2 linked regions of the Elephas maximus indicus genome follow. The protein of the gene in region 2 purifies or fractionates together with the protein of the main gene of each other region. This does not show direct contact. Links are inferred from orthologs where the notes say so. Each region holds a gene or a part of one and is shown on either strand. Other genes may lie near its edges.

Region 1 (8,888 bases), on a different chromosome or scaffold from region 2:
GGAGACCAAAATTTATCATTAGTGGTTATGGGGGGAGCAACTAACAGTGAGGGAAAAATGGCATTAAGGGTAGAGTTGCACGGCTTATTATCATAATTGCTGTCAGTAAGTTATACACCTGTTAAAAGTTGAATTGGCAAAAGTTGTGTGATATATTTACAACAACGAAATATATCACAACAAAAAGAGTAGCTGCTGAGGCTGTTTAGGAACAGCGAAATGGGATTTGGTTCCTTTGTCTGGAGGTTTAGGGTCATGGTTTCATGGGATACCCCAGTTAACTGGCCTAATAATCTGTTTACTGCTTCTCTTCTACCTCCTTGTTTGTTAAGTAGTGCCTGGGGTCTTAAGAGCTTACAAGTGGCCAAACAAGGCACAACAACTTAACTCCATTCACCTGGAGCAACAGAGGAACAAGAGTGAGAAGCAGGAAGAGGGTGTGGAATGTTTGGCTAATTACCTCCATGAACAACTGCTTCCCTTCCCATGAGACCAGAACTGGATGGTGCCTGGCTACCAATATTGAACATTTTGATCAGACTGCATAGAAGAATCCTGATCAAAAGGGGGAAAATGTAAAACGAAGTTTCAAATTCCCATGGACTCTAGACTTTCTAGAGCCAGAGGGTGGATGAGCCCCTGAACCTATTGCCCTGAGATAATCTTTAAACCTTAAACCAAAAATATTCCCTGAAGTCATCTTAAAACTGAACAACAGTTTGGCTTAACTAGTAAAAAAGGTCTGCCTTGAGCATTATGCTCTTTTAAGAACTATCCACAGGGGAACAAACTGACAACAGCAACTCCAAAGATTAGACAGAAACATTAGGGGGCATTAAGTTTATGTTAATGAGGCAGAAACAACTCAGAAAAGGAGGTGAGAATGGTTGCATAATTCATAGAATGTAATCAACATCACTAAATTATACATGTAGAAACTGCTGAACTAGTGTTTTGCTGTGTATATTCTCAACAACAAAATAAAATTTAGGAAAAAAAAGTAATAAATCCAAATCAATCAACGTGGCTTTACAATTTAAGATTGCCTACGAACTTCATGTACACACCTAATGATATCATAGGAGTTGATCGCCTAACAAATTGTGATAGCTGGGGGTTTACCAAAAATCTTATAGACATTTAGGATATCCTTTAAAACAGAAAAAGCACTACTACAAATACTTGCTTAATCAAAACTGTATGTTACTTTTCCGAATGAGCTGCTTTACCTCCTTCCTAGAATTCTTTATTTTCATTAAAACATATGAAATCACTGAGGGCTGTCGGGACCATCGTCTCGGGGAATGTCTAGCTCAATTGGCATAACATAGTTTATAAAGAAAATGTTCTACATCCTACTTTGGTGAGTAGTGCCTGGAGTCTTAAAAGCCTATGAGCAGCCATCTAAGATACTCCAATGATCTCACCCATTCGGGAGCAACAGAGAGTGAAGAAAACTAAAGACACAAGGGAAAGATTAGTCCCAAGGATTTATGGACCACAACTACCACAGCCTCCACTAGACTGAGTCCAGTACGACTAGATCGTGCCCAACTACCACCATCGACTGCTCTGACAGATCACAATAGAGGGTCCCAGGCAGAGCTGGAGAGAAATGTAGAACAAAATTCCAACTCACAAAAAAAGACCTGAGTTACTGGCCTGACAGAGACTGGAGAAACCCTGAGACTATGGACCCCAGACACCGTTTCAGCTCAGTAATGAAATCACCCCTGAGGTTCACCCTTCAGCCAAAGATTAGACAAGCCCATAAAACAAAACGAGACTACAGGGGCACGCCAGCCCAGGGGCAAGGACTAGAGGGCAGGAGAGGACAGGAAAGCTGCTAATAGGGTATCCAATCAAGGTCGAGAAGGAAGAGTGTTGACATGTCATGCAGTTAGTAATCAATGTCATAAAACAATATGGGTACTGTTTAACGAGAAGCTAGTTTGTTCTGTAAACCTTCATCTAAAGCATAATAAATAAATAAATAAATAATAAACAAATGTTATCTTAAAAAAAAAAAAAAAACACGTAAAATCAACCTGGCGTAAACTCTCTGAATACCTCGAATAAGAAAAGTAACAAAGAAAAATAAGAAATCCATGAAAATGATCCCTGCACAAGGTTATATGGGGAGTTCTCAGAATAGGTAAAATGTACTATAAATGCAAGCTATTGTGAGTCAACTTTCTGGCCGCGACCAAAAGCCTCTTTTAAATGAATGTAATGCTAACCGCAAACTTACAGTATGATCAAACACAAAATATTTCACTCTTAATTCGACTGCTGACCTGCACATCCTTCTTTGAAATGGCACTAAACTGGAGCTAATAATAAGATGGTAACCGATCCTATCGCATCGCTCACGACCCACAACTATAACTCTTAAAAAGAATTCAGTCCTGCCAGGTGTTGTTTTAAAAGCCCTTCCTGTAACAGCTGACATCATTTTCCTCTTTATGCATCCTTCTGGTCAGATGCCTAAATCGAAGTTTAAAGGAGATCTCTCTTGGGTAGGAGGGGAAGGCTCAGTAGGATGGGCGTGAGGACCTTTCACACACGTAAGCGCTTAGGGAAAATGTCACCCGAATAAGCCCGGAGAGTTAAATGGCTCACGACGCACGTTTCAATTTCTCACAACCCTTTGTATGTTCAGAGATTCAACGAGACAAAAAGAGGGGCCGGCTTTTCGTTTTGTGCCCCTTAGGCTATGAGGGCTGTCCTCATCCCAGGCCTCGCTGTCAGGCGGGTGACCCTCGCCATCCGCCGGCCCCGAAGTTCTCCGCGTCCTGCCGCCGGGAGCGGGCGCCGAGGGGCCTCTGCCAGCCCCGCCGGGGGCCCGGGAACAATGCAGGGCTCCGGGCGCCCACGCTCGGGCCCGCGGAGGGGGAAGGGGAAGCCGGCCTCCGCCCGCGCCGGGGAACAAAAGGCGCCGCAGGGCCGGGCCGGGCGCCCGGGGGTCGCGGGCCGGGGCCCGGGGGGAAGTCGCGGGGAAAAGTTTCCGGGCGCCGGCGGCGGGGCGAGGGCCCGCGGCGCTGTTGCCGCGCTGCGCCGCACAATGGCCGGGCCGAGCGCGGGAAGGCCGGGCCGCCGCTCCCCCGCCGGATGCCGACCCCGGCCGGGCCCGGCTCCCGTACCTGGTGGTTCTCCTTCCTGCCCGCGGCCGCCGCCGGCCCGCCTGGGCCGCTCGTCATGTTCACGTACAGGGAGCGGGGGAGCGGACTCCGCAGCGTCCACATCCTCCGCGCCAGCCACTCGGACGCCAGGCTCAGGCACAGCCAGCCCGCGAACAGTCTCATCGGGGGCCGCGGCCGCTCACTCCGATCACCGCCGGCGCCGGGGCGAGGAGGAGGAGGCGCCGCCGCCTCCGGCCACCACCGCCACCGCCCAGGCTCGAGCCATCGCGCTCAACTTGCCCATCCAGCCCCTCCAGGGCAGAGGCAGGGGGGCGGGGAGGAGCGGCCAGCGCACGGCCTTCCCACCGCCTCCTTCCTTTCCGCCGCGGAACGCCGCCGCCCACGGCGCCGGTTTCCACCCGGAGCACGTACGAGCTGCTGGGGCGCGCTCTCGCCGGGGCGCGCTCCCTTGGTCCAATCAGCAGGCCGGCTGGGAGGTGGCACAAAGGGAGCGCGCATTCGCCTGGCGCGCGCCCCCGCCGGCCGTCTCTAGCGCGGCCCCACGTAATGGCGGAGACCATGTAAATTTTTTAGGGGAGGGGAGCTCACTTCCGAAAGCGGTAACTGAAGCCTCCCCTCCTTCCAAGGTAGTGCTTGCAAGACCTCAGGTCTGTCTTCGCCTTAGCCTTTGCCAGTGGGCTCGTCATTCCACCCCCAGGAAGGACTTGCACTTTGTGGAGCAGATTGCCTGGGGTGGGTCTCATCGCGTTCGTGCATCCAAAGATTCAGACCCAAGTCCTTCCCATGGACCAACGATGCCAGTTCTTAGCTGTTACGAGCACGACTACGAGCTGACAAGCCAGAACCCTATCCCAAGGGCCTCCACCTCGCTTCGCAGGAGCTGCAAAGCAGACAGGAATCTAGGGAAAGAGAATATCATCGCTACCACCACCACCTCGGTTCCCCCAAGTCTGGCCAGTTGCTGGCTGCATGTTTCTAAGAGGCATCGAGGAAAGCTCTGCCTTTGTTGAAAGCTACTGCAGCTGGGGCACCCGCAGGTAATGTTTTGATGTATTGATGACTCTGCCCAAGGATGAAGACCCCAAATTAGTGTCTCTAGGTGCTCTTTCTTTGAACTCACAGACCAAAGTTGGAACCAACACTCTTAGGCGAAGTAAGCTCTGGGAGCAGTATTTACCCGGATGTTTCTTTGATCATTTATAGCCCGAGGAGACCTAGCAACCTCTCAAAACTGAAGGGTTACACTGTGTCTAACGTTCTTTCTGCTGCTACTCAAGCTGCAACTAAGGAGTAACATGTTTCACGCGTCCTTTTAACTTTAATAACGCCTTCTTGGGTTGGTTTGTTTACAAAATGATTTTAATTTAACTGAACCAGAAATAATGTAAATACATTTTATTTTAGTTCAAAACAAAAGGAAGAAACCCCTCAGTTCATGCCATATTGCACTTCAGAGCTTTTCATTTCTGCAACGGTGGTGAGGTCATCCACTGATGAGAAACAAAATAGTACCTTATCCACAAATATTTCTATTAGCTTCTAAGAATCTCAGCTTGGCACATTTCACTAACATGGATATCTTGTTACCTAATGTGACATAGCCTCTAACAAAAAAAGGGTGGGGCAGAGAGGTACTTTGTCCTCTCCTTCCAGTTCTGTATATTCCCTGACTAAAAAAAAAAATACTCCCTGACTGCTTCCTGCCAAAACCCCAAAGAGCCTGCACCTTACTAAATCTGCTTCAAACCTCTAGTGGTCTTGGGCTCAAATCATCAAGAAGGAATTATAGTAACAAGTCCAAATAACTCAGTTTGTTTACTATGTCACCTCTGCCTCTTGTCTCTTGGTATCAGTGCCAAAAGAAAGCCTTCACCTTTTCAAAGTGGGAGGGGTGGGGGGGTAGAAATAGTAGTACTGCATAAAATGGCATATTTCATTTCTGAAGACAAAGGAGAAAAAAAAGGTATGCCCCCCCCCAACCATAGAGTAAGCCTGCTGCACTGCTACTCAGAGACTGCAAAATGTATCAGATGAACAAGAAGCAACTAGATGCTGCTGCAGCCTGAAGGGCTTGAGGTCAGTTGACTCCCAGAAGCCCAGCATCTCAAACGAACAGATTTTTGCCTTATACCTGAGCAGCCAACCTAGAACAATAGACCACCCACACATCTAAAACACTCTATAGTAATCACAAAATATTCAATGCATGTTATTTACACTTAACAAGCACAGGAAGAAACCAAAGCACAGTGTGATCGAATGATTTGCCTAAAGGTAGCAGAGCAAATTCAATAGCAGACCTTATCATAGAACTTGGTATCCCAGCTCTTGGTCCTCCGATCCATCTGAGAAGCCTCGCTGTCTCTCTCTCTTTTCAGAGAGCCTCCTGAATTACAAATGAGGAGGAAGGAAAACAGCAAGAGTAAATATACTAAGCAGAAGTTCAGATGGCCCTCAGAGACTGCCCCTTTCCTTCATCTACTAGAATGTCACCACTGTATATTAAAACCTCAGTTATCCATAATGGAGAGGGGAAGACGCACAAAGAACACAAAAATCCAGAGATGAACCAATATCCTTTCTAACTTGACTTCGAAATTCAGTCAGTGATATTCAAAAGACACATAGCTGACACCTTCTGTGCCAACCTCTTCTCACTGCCCTCCTGACCAGGAGCTCAGGTGTCTAGCTTGGTATCGAGTTGGTGGAAACCTTGGGTCACAGCCTTGTGCACAGGCCTGGAATTTTGACTGGATTACATTCCTACCTAGAATTCTAGAGAGGGGCTTTTTTTTTTTTTTTCCTCTTAAGCTACAAGTCATGGCATTTTCATGTTCTCTTTTCAACTACAAAGTGTATAATCTTAAGACAACCCAAAGGGTGAGAGACTTGGATCTGTACAGTGTAGCAAACATGCTGGTCACTGTTGGTCTTGCCATCTCCCTGAGGGGATATTATCCTGAAAGAACTCATATCACATGTTCATGGGCTTAGATGTGTGTGTGTGTGTGTGTGTGCGTGTGTGTGTGGTGTTAATTGATCCAAACCAATTTATTACCAATTCTGTTCTGATACCAGCTAACACAGCCACCGTCCAAAGTTGAAGGGGCAAGGCTTCTGTGTCAGTGGGCCAGGAGAACTAAGCCACGTGGGGCGAAAGGGGTGGGGTCACCACTCAAGTGTACCAGGAGAATGGGGCCACCCCGAGCTAAGGGAGAGGCTGCCCTCCCAGTGGGTCTGAAAGGCAGGGCTGATGCACAGGCCCCATGGGCCTCCAACCAGAATCCATAGAGTGGAGCCTGTGTCCAGATATGTGATTACAGTTTTATTATAACAAAAAGGATAGAAATGAAGAGACACAGGGGGAGGTCTGGGAGGGTTCCCAACGTGGAACTTCGATGTCCCAAAAAGGAACACACTACCCTCCCCCAGGAAGCCCCAGATTTTTTTTTAATGCTTCTTAATAACATTTTGTAAAGTGTCAGAGAAAAGTACAAGTTTTCCCCAATATATTCAATAGCTGTGCTTCTTAAGCAATAAGCACCTCTAAAAAATAAAATTAGTGAAGTGTAGGGAGTTTTTAAGGAGCCCTGGTGGCACAATGGTTAAGCTTTCAGCTAAGTGAAAGGTTGGTGGTTCAAACCCACCCAGCTGCTCTGTGAGAGAGAGACCTGGCAATCTGCTTCCACAAAGATCACACCCCAGAAAGCCCTGTTGGGCAGTTCTGCTCTGTCACATGGGGTTGCTATGAGTTGGAATGGACGCAACAGCATGGAACAACAGTGGGATTTTTATTTTAATTTAGCTAAAGTAATTTCAATCATATGCAAGTCATATCACTGTGGCTCTGATAAATTCCAAGTCAAGATGAAATTATAAACAGTTAAAAAGTAATAGCATGAAGTAGGCAGAATTGAACCAGGAGCCACTCCATGGAAGCCCTATGAGGCCTTTCTACTCTGTCCTACAGGGTTGCTAAGAGTCGACTCTAAGGCAACAGGTTTTTTTGTTTTGTTTTTAATATAGACCCCATTGCCGTCGAGTCGATTCCAACTCATAGCAACCATATAGGACAGAATAGAACTGCCCCACAGAGTTTCCAAGGAGCACCTGGTGGATTCAAACTGCCAACCTTTTGGTTAGCAACCATAGCACTTAACCACTACACCACCAGGGTTTCCTTTTAATATAGAAAACCAAACCCAGTGCCGTCTGGTCGATTCCTACTCATAGTGACCCTATAGGGCAGAGTAGAACTGCCCCATAGAGTTTCCAAGGGCGCATTCAAACTGCCAACCCTTGTGGTTAGCAGCCATAGCAATTAACCATTATGCCACCAGGGTTTCCTCTTAACATAGAGTAAGTACAAATAACACAGCTTACTCCCTTGGAGAGCTCCCAGTGCTACTCATTAGCATAGTGGTTTATCCTGCGCTTTTAGGACCCCTGGTGGTATACTGGTTAAGTGCTTCAGCTGCTTACCAAAAGGTTGGCAGTTCAAATCCACCAGGCACTCCTTAGAAACTCTGTGGGGCAGCTCTACCCTGTCCTATAGGGTCACTGTGAGTCCGAATCGACTCAACAGCAACAGGTTGAAACAGACCACCAGTTTGTTTTTGTTTGTTTTTATTGTGCTTTAGATGAAGCTTTACAGAGCAAATTAGTTTCTCATTAAATAAGTAATATACATATTGTTTCGTGACTTTGGTTGCCAACCCCACAACATGTCAACACTCTCCCCTTCTTGACCTTGGGTTCCCCATTACCAGCTTTCCTGTGCTCTCCTGCATTCTTGTCCTTGCTTCTGGGCTGGTGTGCCCCTTTAATCTCATTTTGTTTTATGGGCCTCTCTAATCTTTCAGACCACCTGGTTTTGAAGCCTGGCACAACACTTCTTAGTTATGCAACTTGAGGCAAATTACTTAATCTCTTCAGTTCTTAGTTTCCCCATCTATAAAATGGTGATATTAATAATGGTTACCGATCTCTTGAGGTTGTTGTGAGGATTAAATTATACATTCTTCATATAAAGGGTTTGATCTCTTGAGATTGTTGTGAGGATTAAATTATACATTCTTCATATAAAGGGTTTAGTGCCTCAACACACAGTATACACTGGAATAAACTTGGATAAATCAACCTCTTCTGAGCCTGTTTCCTCATCTATAAAATGAGGGCCACAAGTCTGAGCTGCTTACTTCACAATATGTCTGTGAGACTCAGATGATCCGACAGCTTCATAAACTGTAAAACAGCTAACCAAGGTTATCAGAATAAGGATGCTCAGTCCTGATGTGCTTGTAGCCTCTGCAAATCCTCCATAAAATATCCTCAAAACCTACAATGGTAGATTCTCCTCATCATATATCCATCCCCAGACTCCTGTCTGGAGATTTCAAACTAAGGGGAGTGACCACGAGAGTGGGGGGTCAAGAATATAAAACACGAAACTATAAAACATTCAAACTTGAAGTCACAAAATCAGGCAGCAAATTCAAGTTGTTTGCTGTCAGCCTTCTTTTTAGTAGGAAAGTCTTTCCCCCTCTAATATATCAAACTCTTCCCAGCTTGCTCACTTGTCTACCTCTGTGTCAGCCACGGTGTTTCTCCTGCTTACAGAACCTTCTGAACCCCCACGGTGTCTCTGCCATGGCAATCTCGTGCCTGTTTCCATTTATGTCAGGAATAACATAGACAAGGAAATACCATTTTCATTTATTTAATAAATATTTGAGTACTTATAAT
Region 2 (9,383 bases):
ATAATTCTACCAAAAGTCTCTTCAAGGCAATCTAGGCTTTTACTACTAAGCATCTGAAAACTCTTCCAGCCTCTACCCATTACCCAGCTCCAAAATCATTTCCACATTTTGGGTATCTGTTAGAGCAGCACCCTACTCTCATTACCAAACTCTGTCTTAGTTATCTAGTGCTACTATAACAGAAGGAGCCCTGATGGAGCAGTGGTTAAAAGTTACAGTGAGCTACGCCTGCTAACCAAAAAGGCTGGCAGGTTGAATCCACCAGTCGCTCCTTGGAAACCCTATGGGGCATTTCTACTCTGTCCTATAAGGTCACTATGAGTCAGAACCGACTTGACAGCACGTAACAACAACAACTATAACAGAAATACCACAAGCGGGTACCTTTAACAAACAGTAATTTATTTTCTCATAGTTTAGGAGGCTAGAAGTCCGAATTCAGGGTGCCATCTCTAGGCGAAGGCTTTCTCTCTCTGTCGGCTCTAGAGGAAGGTCCTTGTCTCTTTGAGCTTCTGTTCCTGGATGATCTTCATGTGGCTTGGCTTCATGTGGCTTCTCTGCTTGCTTGTTTAATCTCTTTTAAAATATCTCAAAAAGATTGACTCAAGACACACCCTACACTAATCCTGCCTCATTAAGGCAACGAAGCCAACCAATTCCCAAATGGGATTACAACCACAGGCATGTTGTTGTTAGGTGCCATCAAGTTAGTTCCAATTCATAGTTACCCCATGTACAAGAGAAGGAGACACTGCCTGGTCCTGCACCATCCTCATAATCATTGTTATGCTTGAGTCCATCATTACATCCATTTTGTCAATCCATCTCCTTGAGGGTCTTTTCTTTTGCTGATGCTCTACATTAGCAAGCACAATGTCCTTCTCCAGGGACTGGTCCCTCCTGATAATATGTCCAAAGTATGTGAGATGAAATCTTGCTATCCTTGCTTCTAAGGAGCATTCTGGCTTTACTTCCTCTAAGACAGATTTGTTTGTTATTCTAGCAGTCAATATTCTTCACCAACACTGTAATTCAAAGGCATCAATTCTTTTTTGGTCTTCCCTATTCATTGTCCAGCTTTCACGTGCATATATACAGGCATAGAGGTTAAGATTTACAACACATATTTTCGGAGACACAATTCAATCCATAAGTCACTATCCTGTGTTTTTTTGATAACCACACACTTGCTTTTCTTTAGTTTTATCTCCCAAAGTCTCCTCCCATAGAACTATGAAAGAATTTGAGGCCAGAAAGAGAGAGGCCTAAATGACAAGTCAAGAATCTAATCCACGTCCTGTGTCTAGATTGCTTCTCCAGGTTACTGATTACTTGGGAAACAAGCATCTCAATAGCTTGTAACTTAACTGGGGGAGGGAGAGGACAGTCAAGGCTCTGTAATCAGCTAAAGCTTAAATTCCAAGACAATATCTAATTGCAAATAAGGGTATCTCTACTGTGCCATCTAAAGGATTCTCCAGTCCTTGCAAAGCAGAACACTTAAGGGTGATAAATATGGCTTTTGATCAATGGGCTTCCCTTAACATCATGCTGGAGAGAGGAACTGGCTTCAAAGGGGGCTATTCCAATGAATCCTAAATACAGTTCCATAGACTACTGCAACAAAAATCACCAGGGAAGTTTTATTTTATTTCCAAACCTTTAATTGTGGAATATTTCAAACATATTATAAAATAGAGAGAATAGTATAATGCACCCCCATGTACCCATCGCTTGGTTTCAACAGTTTGACACATCATCAATCTTGGTTCTTCTATAGTCTTACCCACTCACCCCACTGGGATTATTTTAAGGAAAGTCCCAGACAGCATATCATTTATCCTTCAATACTTTAGATAACTGTTCTTTTAAAAAATCATAACAACTATGCCATAAAATGGGCCCTGGGTGGCGCAAATGTTTAAGCACTCAACTATTAGCTGAAAGGTTAGCAGTTCGAACCCACCTAGAGGCACCTAAGAACACTGGCCTGGAGATCTGCTTCTGAAAATTTACAGCCTTGAAAACCCTATGGAGCAGTTCTACTCTGCACACATGGGGTCACCATGAGTTGGAATTGACTCCACGTCAACTAACAACATACCATAAGAAATGAACAATAATTCCACAATAGCGTCAAACACAGAGAAGGATTTTTCAGATACAGATTCCCAGGCTCCACTCCAGACCTACTGAATGAATCATTGGGCTCTAATTGTGGAATGAGGGAATATAATGTATATTTTTAAGTAACAATGTTCAGGTGATGCTGAGATCTGGGAATTGCTAGCCATTCTGTGTAGGACCTACTGGGCATCTTTGGAGAAGCCAAGTATATAATACAAATGGATCTGGCATTTTTCAGTATACTGAAGTCTTGACTAAATAACTTTTTGGTCAGTTGAACTCTTGCAAATCCACTGTAATGAATCATGGGAAAATATTAATTTAAAAGAAATCTTAAATATTTTTTCTTAATGAATGTACGTAGCTGGATTCAATTTATAAATTTGAATTTTTTTTTGGAGAATTTATGATGTCCCTTGCATTAAGGGGTAAAAGAGGGACATATGCTTATAAAGCATAACCATTTTTCCCTCAAGTAGGTTGTAAGAGCGGGTTCTGAGCATAGGGCAGAGTTTGAAACTATAACATGTGACTGAGATCGTCCAGTAAAAACTCCTCCTGGGAGCAGAAGCCACGTCAGTCCCTCTCCTCTGATTAAATGACCAACCCACCACTCATCTGTCAGCTTATACTGTGGTGGGTTGCATGTTGCTGTGAAGCTTGAAGTTAGGCGACCAGTATTTCAGATACCAGCAGGGTCACCGCTTGCGGAGCTTCTAGACTAAGACAAACTAGGAAGAAAGGCCAGGTGATCTACTTCTGAAAATTAGCCAATGAAAACCCCATGGATCACAACAGAATATTGCCCAATATAGGGCTGGAAGATGAACCTCCCCAGGTTGGAAGGAATTCTGTCTTCGTCATCTAGTGCTGCTATAACAGAAATACCACAAGGGGATGGCTTTAACAAAAAGAAATTTATTCTCTCACAGTCTAGTAGGTTACAAGTCTAAATTCAGGGCATCAGCTCCAGAGGAAGGCTTTTTCTCTCTGTTGGCTCTGGAGGAAGTCCTTGTCATCAGTCTTCCATTGGTCTGGGAGCATCTCAGTGCAGGAACCTCAGGTCCAAAGGACACGCTCTGCTCCAGGCGCTGCTTTCTTGGTGGTGAGGTCCCCAACTCTCTGCTTGCTTCCCTTTCCTGTTATCTCTTGAGAGAGAAAAGGTGGCTCAGGCCACACCCCAGGGAAACTCCCTTTACTTTGGATCAGGGAGGTGACCTGAGAAAGGGTGGTGTTACAGTCCCACCCTAATCCTCTCAACATAAAATTACACTCACAAATGGAGGGCAACCTACAGAATACTGGGAATCATGGCCTAACCATGTTAATACACACATTTTGGGGGGGGGGGACATAATTCAATCCATGACACACTCAAAATACAGTGGCTGCAATAGACTCAAGCATCCCAACAGTGGTGAAGATGGTGCAGGACCAGGCACTGTTTCATTCTGTTTTACATGGGTTGCCTTGAGCCGGAGCCAACTTCTCGGGAGCAAATAGCAACATACTAGTCTACTTCTTTATTCCAGTCCAGTCGGTGCTCAGAGCTGAGTTAAAATGTAATGGAAGTACAAGATACATCCCTGTCCTCAAAGACTTTATATAATTTAGTGGGAAGGTAAGGTAAATACATATCTGAGACCTCCTTACTCAAATGCTACTGTGCTGAAAATTCTCTGCGAATCTTGTAAATATGCAGACTCCATCCCCAGATTCCTACTCTACACACCTAGAGATTCTGATTCAGGTGGTCTCAGGTGAGGACCTGCAACTTTTATTTTAGTACCTTCTCTAGGTCATGCTGAGTCTGCTGGTCCTTCAGTTGTACTTTAAGAAATTCAGGAAGCCCAAGGGAAAGGTTTTGCACCTTGTCTCTGACTAAGATGGCTCCAGTGGGCGGAGGGACTGACGGATCCCCCTCCTTTTCCCCAGTGGTGTAGGAATGCGACCTGAGTCCACTCTTCTCTCTGTGAAGGGCCACATCTGCCAAGGCTTGGTCCTCGTGACAAGGAAGGACACTTAAGATAATGGGGCGATTGGTTAGGGAGGTTACCAACTTGAATCTCTTTCTATACAGAAGGCACCTGTTAGAGGCCAGTGTCCGGCACACAAGCTCCCGAACCCTCAGGAATCTCCCTGGGAGAATGCTGTTTCAAGCCGGTGGGGCCTAAGCCTGCTAATTCTCCCGCGGTACCACAACCCGTGGTCGAAGTACAGCACGTTCTACCTGTGTCTGCCTGGTGTTTGTATGCTGCGCTTCCTGGGGCTCCTGTAAGCTGCTGCCCCAGAGAGGGGAAGTAGTGACGGTGGGGGTGATACTGCTGGTGGAGCGCGACACTGCTCTTTGTATGTAGGAGTGGAAATAAAGCCAGTCCTCACCTGATCTGAGCCTGCAGGAGGGGAGTGGCAAGGACGGGTCTGTCAGTCCCAACCAGCCCTAAGGAGGGACATTGCCTCCAGTGTGAGGGAAGAGGCATACCCCTGCCCCTAGGAGCCCCCTAGTCTGAGGGGAAGACCAAAAGTGGGGAAATATGATCAAGCCTGAGCAGCCTCTAGTCTGAAGGTGGAAAAGGATCAAGCCCACAGGAGTCTCTCGTGTGTATGTGTGTGTGTGGGGAGGGGGAGACAGAACCCTAGCCTCAGGAGCCCCTATTCCGAGGTGAGGAGCCACATTTCCGCCCTCCGAGAACCCAAAGGGGATTTGTACAGACCAGGGTCCGAGAACTTTTTCGTGGGATGAGACCAGCCCGGCGGAGGAGAGTGGGCTCAGCACTCGCCCAGCACTAACTCAGTAACACTCAACGGCAGAGCTGGGCCCAGGCAGCCGGGCTTTTCGTCGCAGACCAGGTTGGCTTCTCTGGCCACATGGGCGCAGGGGACCGCTGCTCGGGGGCAACGCCTGGGCGCCTTTTGCAGCCGATCATCCCCTCCCCCTTCCCTGCAGGCTTTTGCACACGACGCGCCGCGGGCCGCTTCACACGGGGTGGTGGGGCAGGATAAAGCAGGGCAGGTGCGGGGCGCAGCGGCCCGGGCGGAGAGCGAGAGCGCTGCGCTGGAGCCGGGAGTGCAGCGGCTTGGCCCGGGACGACTAAGGCACCGGCGGGCGCGCGGCAGAGCCGGCGGCTGGGGGCGCACACGCCTGGGTGGCGGGAGCGGGCACGCGGGGCCCTCCCGGCTTGTGGGTTTCGAATTCTCCCAGCAGGTGGGTGCGCGCGCGCTGCGGAGTGTCCCTAGCGCAACTTTGAGGCACACTCGGCGGGGCGGCTGGCTCTCGGCGGCAGGACCCAGCGCGGGGCGCGTGGTGCCACATGGAGGCCACAGAGAAGCAGCATCTGTTGGACGCCAGGCCTGGAGCTCGGTAAGGCGGGAGCCTGGGGAGGAGCGGGAGTTTGCGCGGCATCAGATGCACCTCCTCGTTAGCCATCCTGGCAGTTTTGGCGGCATCTTGAACTGGGATCACGCAGGAAGGATGGGGTGAGGTGGGCGAATGGGGAAATCGAACGTGATCCCGGGGATCATACCTTCCTTGAGGCCGAGCGCAGACCCTGACCCCAGCCGGCCAAGGGAGAGGGGAGAGTGGGCTGCTCGGAGCCCCGCCCCTGGTTCAGCACTTTGCTCCCTGGCAGCCCCGCCCTGGGGAGGCGCTGTGCCCCCAAGTGCGCGGAAGAGGGAGGGGAAAAGGGAGGGAAGGTCTGCGCTTCTCCCCGAAGTCTGAGCTCTGCTCCTTCTCCAAGCTCCGCTCGGGTAAACCAGCCCAGCCCCTTGGCCAGTTCCCAAAGTATTCCGCTTCCTCCAGGCCCAGAAAGGGATAGAGGAAGAGTAACCGCACAGGCCAAGGCCCCCAAGACTCCTGCGCTGGCCATTCCCCCAGTCTTTCCTCCCCCAGCTCTGTCTTCTCACCTTCTCCTCATTCCTCAGGGACTGTCAGAGGTCAATGCCATCCTCTGCATGTGTCCAATGGAGACACCAAGGCCCACAGCAAGCTGGGGCAGAGTCAGGCCTCCTTGCCCCATCACAGAGCTGAATCTCCTCTCTTCCTCCCTCTCTGGCCAGGTCATACATGGGATCTGTATGGCAGGATGGGGCTGGCTGGATCCCTCTGCCCCAGCGTGGCCTAGACTTGCAGGCCATTGAGCTGGCCGTCCAGAGCAACCACTACTGCCATGCTCAGAATGATCCTGGCAGCCACTATGACCCCAAGAAGGAGCGAGCTCGGCGCCAGCTCTATGTGGCCTCTGCCATCTGCCTGGTGTTCATGATTGGGGAAGTTGTTGGTAAGAACTTCTGTGCTAATTAAGTGAAGTAAGGGCATGGACTGGATGATCCAAAAGACTTTTCTCCTGGATTTTCCCAGTAACATTAATAGCCTCATTTATTGAACACTCACTGTGTTAAGCCCTTTATATACACACTATCTCATGCAGTCTTCACAACTCATGCTGTCATATGGGTGCTCTTTTCCCTATTTTAGGGAAGAAGAAACTGAGGCAGGTTATGGGTCAGCAACTTGCCCAAGATTACACACAGCTAGTAGGAAAAGGAGGGCCTGAATGCCTAGGAGAGAGCATTTACTGAGTACCTATTACGTTTTTGGAGCCTTGGTGACACTGTGGTTAAGCATTTGGCTGCCAACCAAAAGGTCAGCAGTTCAAATCCACCAGCTGCTCCTTGGAAACCGTATGGGGCAAGTCTACTCTGTATTATAGGGTTGCTATGAGTTGGAATTAACAGCAACGGGTTTACCATGCTTTTCATCCTCTAAGTAGATGTTATTATCCCCATTTTGTGGATGTGGATGTTGAGGCTCAGAGAGTAAGTCACTTGCCCAAGGTCACACAGCTAATGGGTAGAGAGGTCTCAAACTCAGTGTGTCTGTCTCCAGAGTCTGTGGTCTCTCCATTGCACACATAGTCTGGGGGGGTTGGCTCCTTGGGGAGCTGATGAGGACCTTCCATCCTTATGGCTCTTCCCATGTAGGTGGGTACCTGGCACATAGCTTGGCGATAATGACCGATGCAGCCCACCTGCTCACTGACTTTGCCAGCATGCTTATCAGCCTCTTCTCCCTCTGGATGTCCTCCCGGCCGGCCACCAAGACCATGAACTTCGGCTGGCAGCGAGCTGGTGAGGGCCCTGGTCAGGCTCTAGATGTACTTGGGGGAGGGGACAGGTCAGGACCTGGATTCTCAGGTGGCTGCAATTGGTGGAGCCCTGAATGAGGCCAGGAGGGTGACCTGGGTGGAGGAAGAGGATGTCAACCCTGGTCTCTGTCCTGAGGGAATTCCCAGTCTGTAGGGAAGGAGAGATCACATTCCTGAGAAGTACAACAGCCAACTTCAAAAACATATGACTATGGCATTAATCCTGTATGGAACTCTATGGATCAGCTCTAGGGGGAGGGCAAGGTCAGCAAAGCCTTCTGGAAGATACAGGCTTTAAACCTTCTTTAATTCACCTCTGGGCTGCATTGTCATTTTCCTCTTGGAGATGGTCCAGCCTCTCCTTAGAAGCCTCAGTTTGCCAGCTGACCAATGCATATATATTTTAATAAGTCCTTTATTTTTTTTTTTTAACATGTCAAACAAGATAGTTTGACCCAAGTGACTTCTTAAGTCCCTTCTAGCTCTGATGTCCTCAGCTATATGAGTAGTAGAGTGAGGTGCAATGTGCCACCTGTACCCTCAGCAGAGTCCAGGGGCACCCAGGCCCTGACTTTGCATTCTGGGGTGAGGGAGGTCATGGAGGGAAGGGGAGGCTCCCTCAGCCCTAGGGCCACACGCTGAGGTTGGTATTGGGGGTCTGGTTCTTCCTCAGAGATCCTGGGAGCCCTGCTGTCTGTGCTGTCCATCTGGGTGGTGACCGGGGTGCTGGTGTACCTGGCGGTGGAGCGGCTAATCTCTGGGGACTATGAGATTGAGGGGGGGACCATGCTGATCACATCGGGCTGTGCAGTGGCTGTAAACATCATGTGAGTGTGGCTTCAGTTACCCCACAGTCCCCTTTCCCCCCACCTTTCACACACACACCCATGTGCCCACTCTTGGTGGAAGGAGGCCATGCCACAGTCCAGCGGCCATGCCAGAAATTCCCTGGTGATCTGAGCTCTGGCACCTTGGACACCTGGGTCCTGTTTTAGGCCTAGCCCAAGGCCTTTTGGAGCTGCAATCTGGGCCACCATCAATTCCCTTCCCTCCCTTCCCCCATACATGTCAGTAAATAACCTTGGAGGCTTCATACCTGAAGAGGGGGAAGGGGAATCTATTACCTGCAGGAACAGATGTCTCTGGGCCAGAATCAAATCCAAGTCCTTTCAAGCTGATGTTCCTGAAATTAGTCTCTGTGAGTAGCAGTGGTGTGCACAGCATTGGTGTCTCACTGAGACTCTTTCTCTCCCTTGCTCAGTGGCCTTGGGCGAGCTACTTCCTGTCTCTAGGCCTCAGCTTCCCCATCTGTGACATGTGGTGGAGAGGGGACTAGACGGCCTCCTATGTGCCCTTCTGCTCTGAGATTTGGTACTGGGCCAGCAGTGTGCTCAGACTCAGCCTGGCACTGGGGCTGAGCCCTTTCTCCTGTGGGACTTTGAAGCAAGGCCATGTGGGCTGGGCCACTCACATGGCCAAAGGGATCCCACAGAGTCTGGGATGGGGAGGGTGTTTTTGCCCCACAGGAAGGCCAGCCATAATGGCGGCCTGTACCTGCTACCTCAGTGAATCACTCAGTCCTGTCTCCATTTCTGTAGAATGGGGCTGACCCTTCACCAATCTGACCATGGGCACAGCCACGGCCACAGCCACAGCCACAATACCAGTGAGCAGCAGCAGAACCCCAGTGTCCGAGCTGCCTTTGTCCACGTGATTGGGGACTTTATGCAGAGCTTGGGCGTCTTGGTGGCAGCCTATATTTTATACTTCAAGGTCAGAGCTGGGGGCAGAGGGAGGTAGGCTGGGGAGCAGGAGGCTGTAGATTGTCTGGGAACTCCTCTCTGCACTGGACCCTTACCCAATTCCAGCCCCCTCCCAGCTCTGGGGACACAGGTCGGGAGAGAGAATGAACTAGCATTTATTCAACACCTACCAAGTGTTAGCACTTGAGATCTTCATGACAACCCTGAATGATATGGATGGTGGTGTTTTCTGCAGCTCAGAGAGGTTCAGTGCCTTGCTCAGTGTCACACAGCTAGTAAGTTGTAGAGTCAGACTCAAACCCAGGACTGTGTGGTACCAAAGCCCTGGGCATCGCGCATCATGTAGATA

The links.
Region 1: the proteins of SLC30A2 (region 2) and METTL9 purify together in Homo sapiens (co-immunoprecipitation; 3 studies listed by BioGRID and IntAct, with this or other methods). This does not show direct contact. The link is inferred for Elephas maximus indicus from reciprocal best matches to the Homo sapiens genes SLC30A2 and METTL9.

The regions. Positions count from the first base shown.
Region 1 is NC_064830.1:82,534,604-82,543,491, reverse strand, and holds the start of METTL9 (protein-L-histidine N-pros-methyltransferase), read right to left. Parts: upstream 3,528-8,888; 5' UTR 3,306-3,527; coding exon 3,144-3,305; intron 1-3,143. UniProt on the Homo sapiens protein: Protein-histidine N-methyltransferase that specifically catalyzes 1-methylhistidine (pros-methylhistidine) methylation of target proteins.
Region 2 is NC_064821.1:66,541,844-66,551,226, reverse strand, and holds the start of SLC30A2 (proton-coupled zinc antiporter SLC30A2), read left to right. Parts: upstream 1-5,438; coding exon 5,439-5,488; intron 5,489-6,183; coding exon 6,184-6,404; intron 6,405-7,107; coding exon 7,108-7,254; intron 7,255-7,944; coding exon 7,945-8,098; intron 8,099-8,869; coding exon 8,870-9,044; intron 9,045-9,383.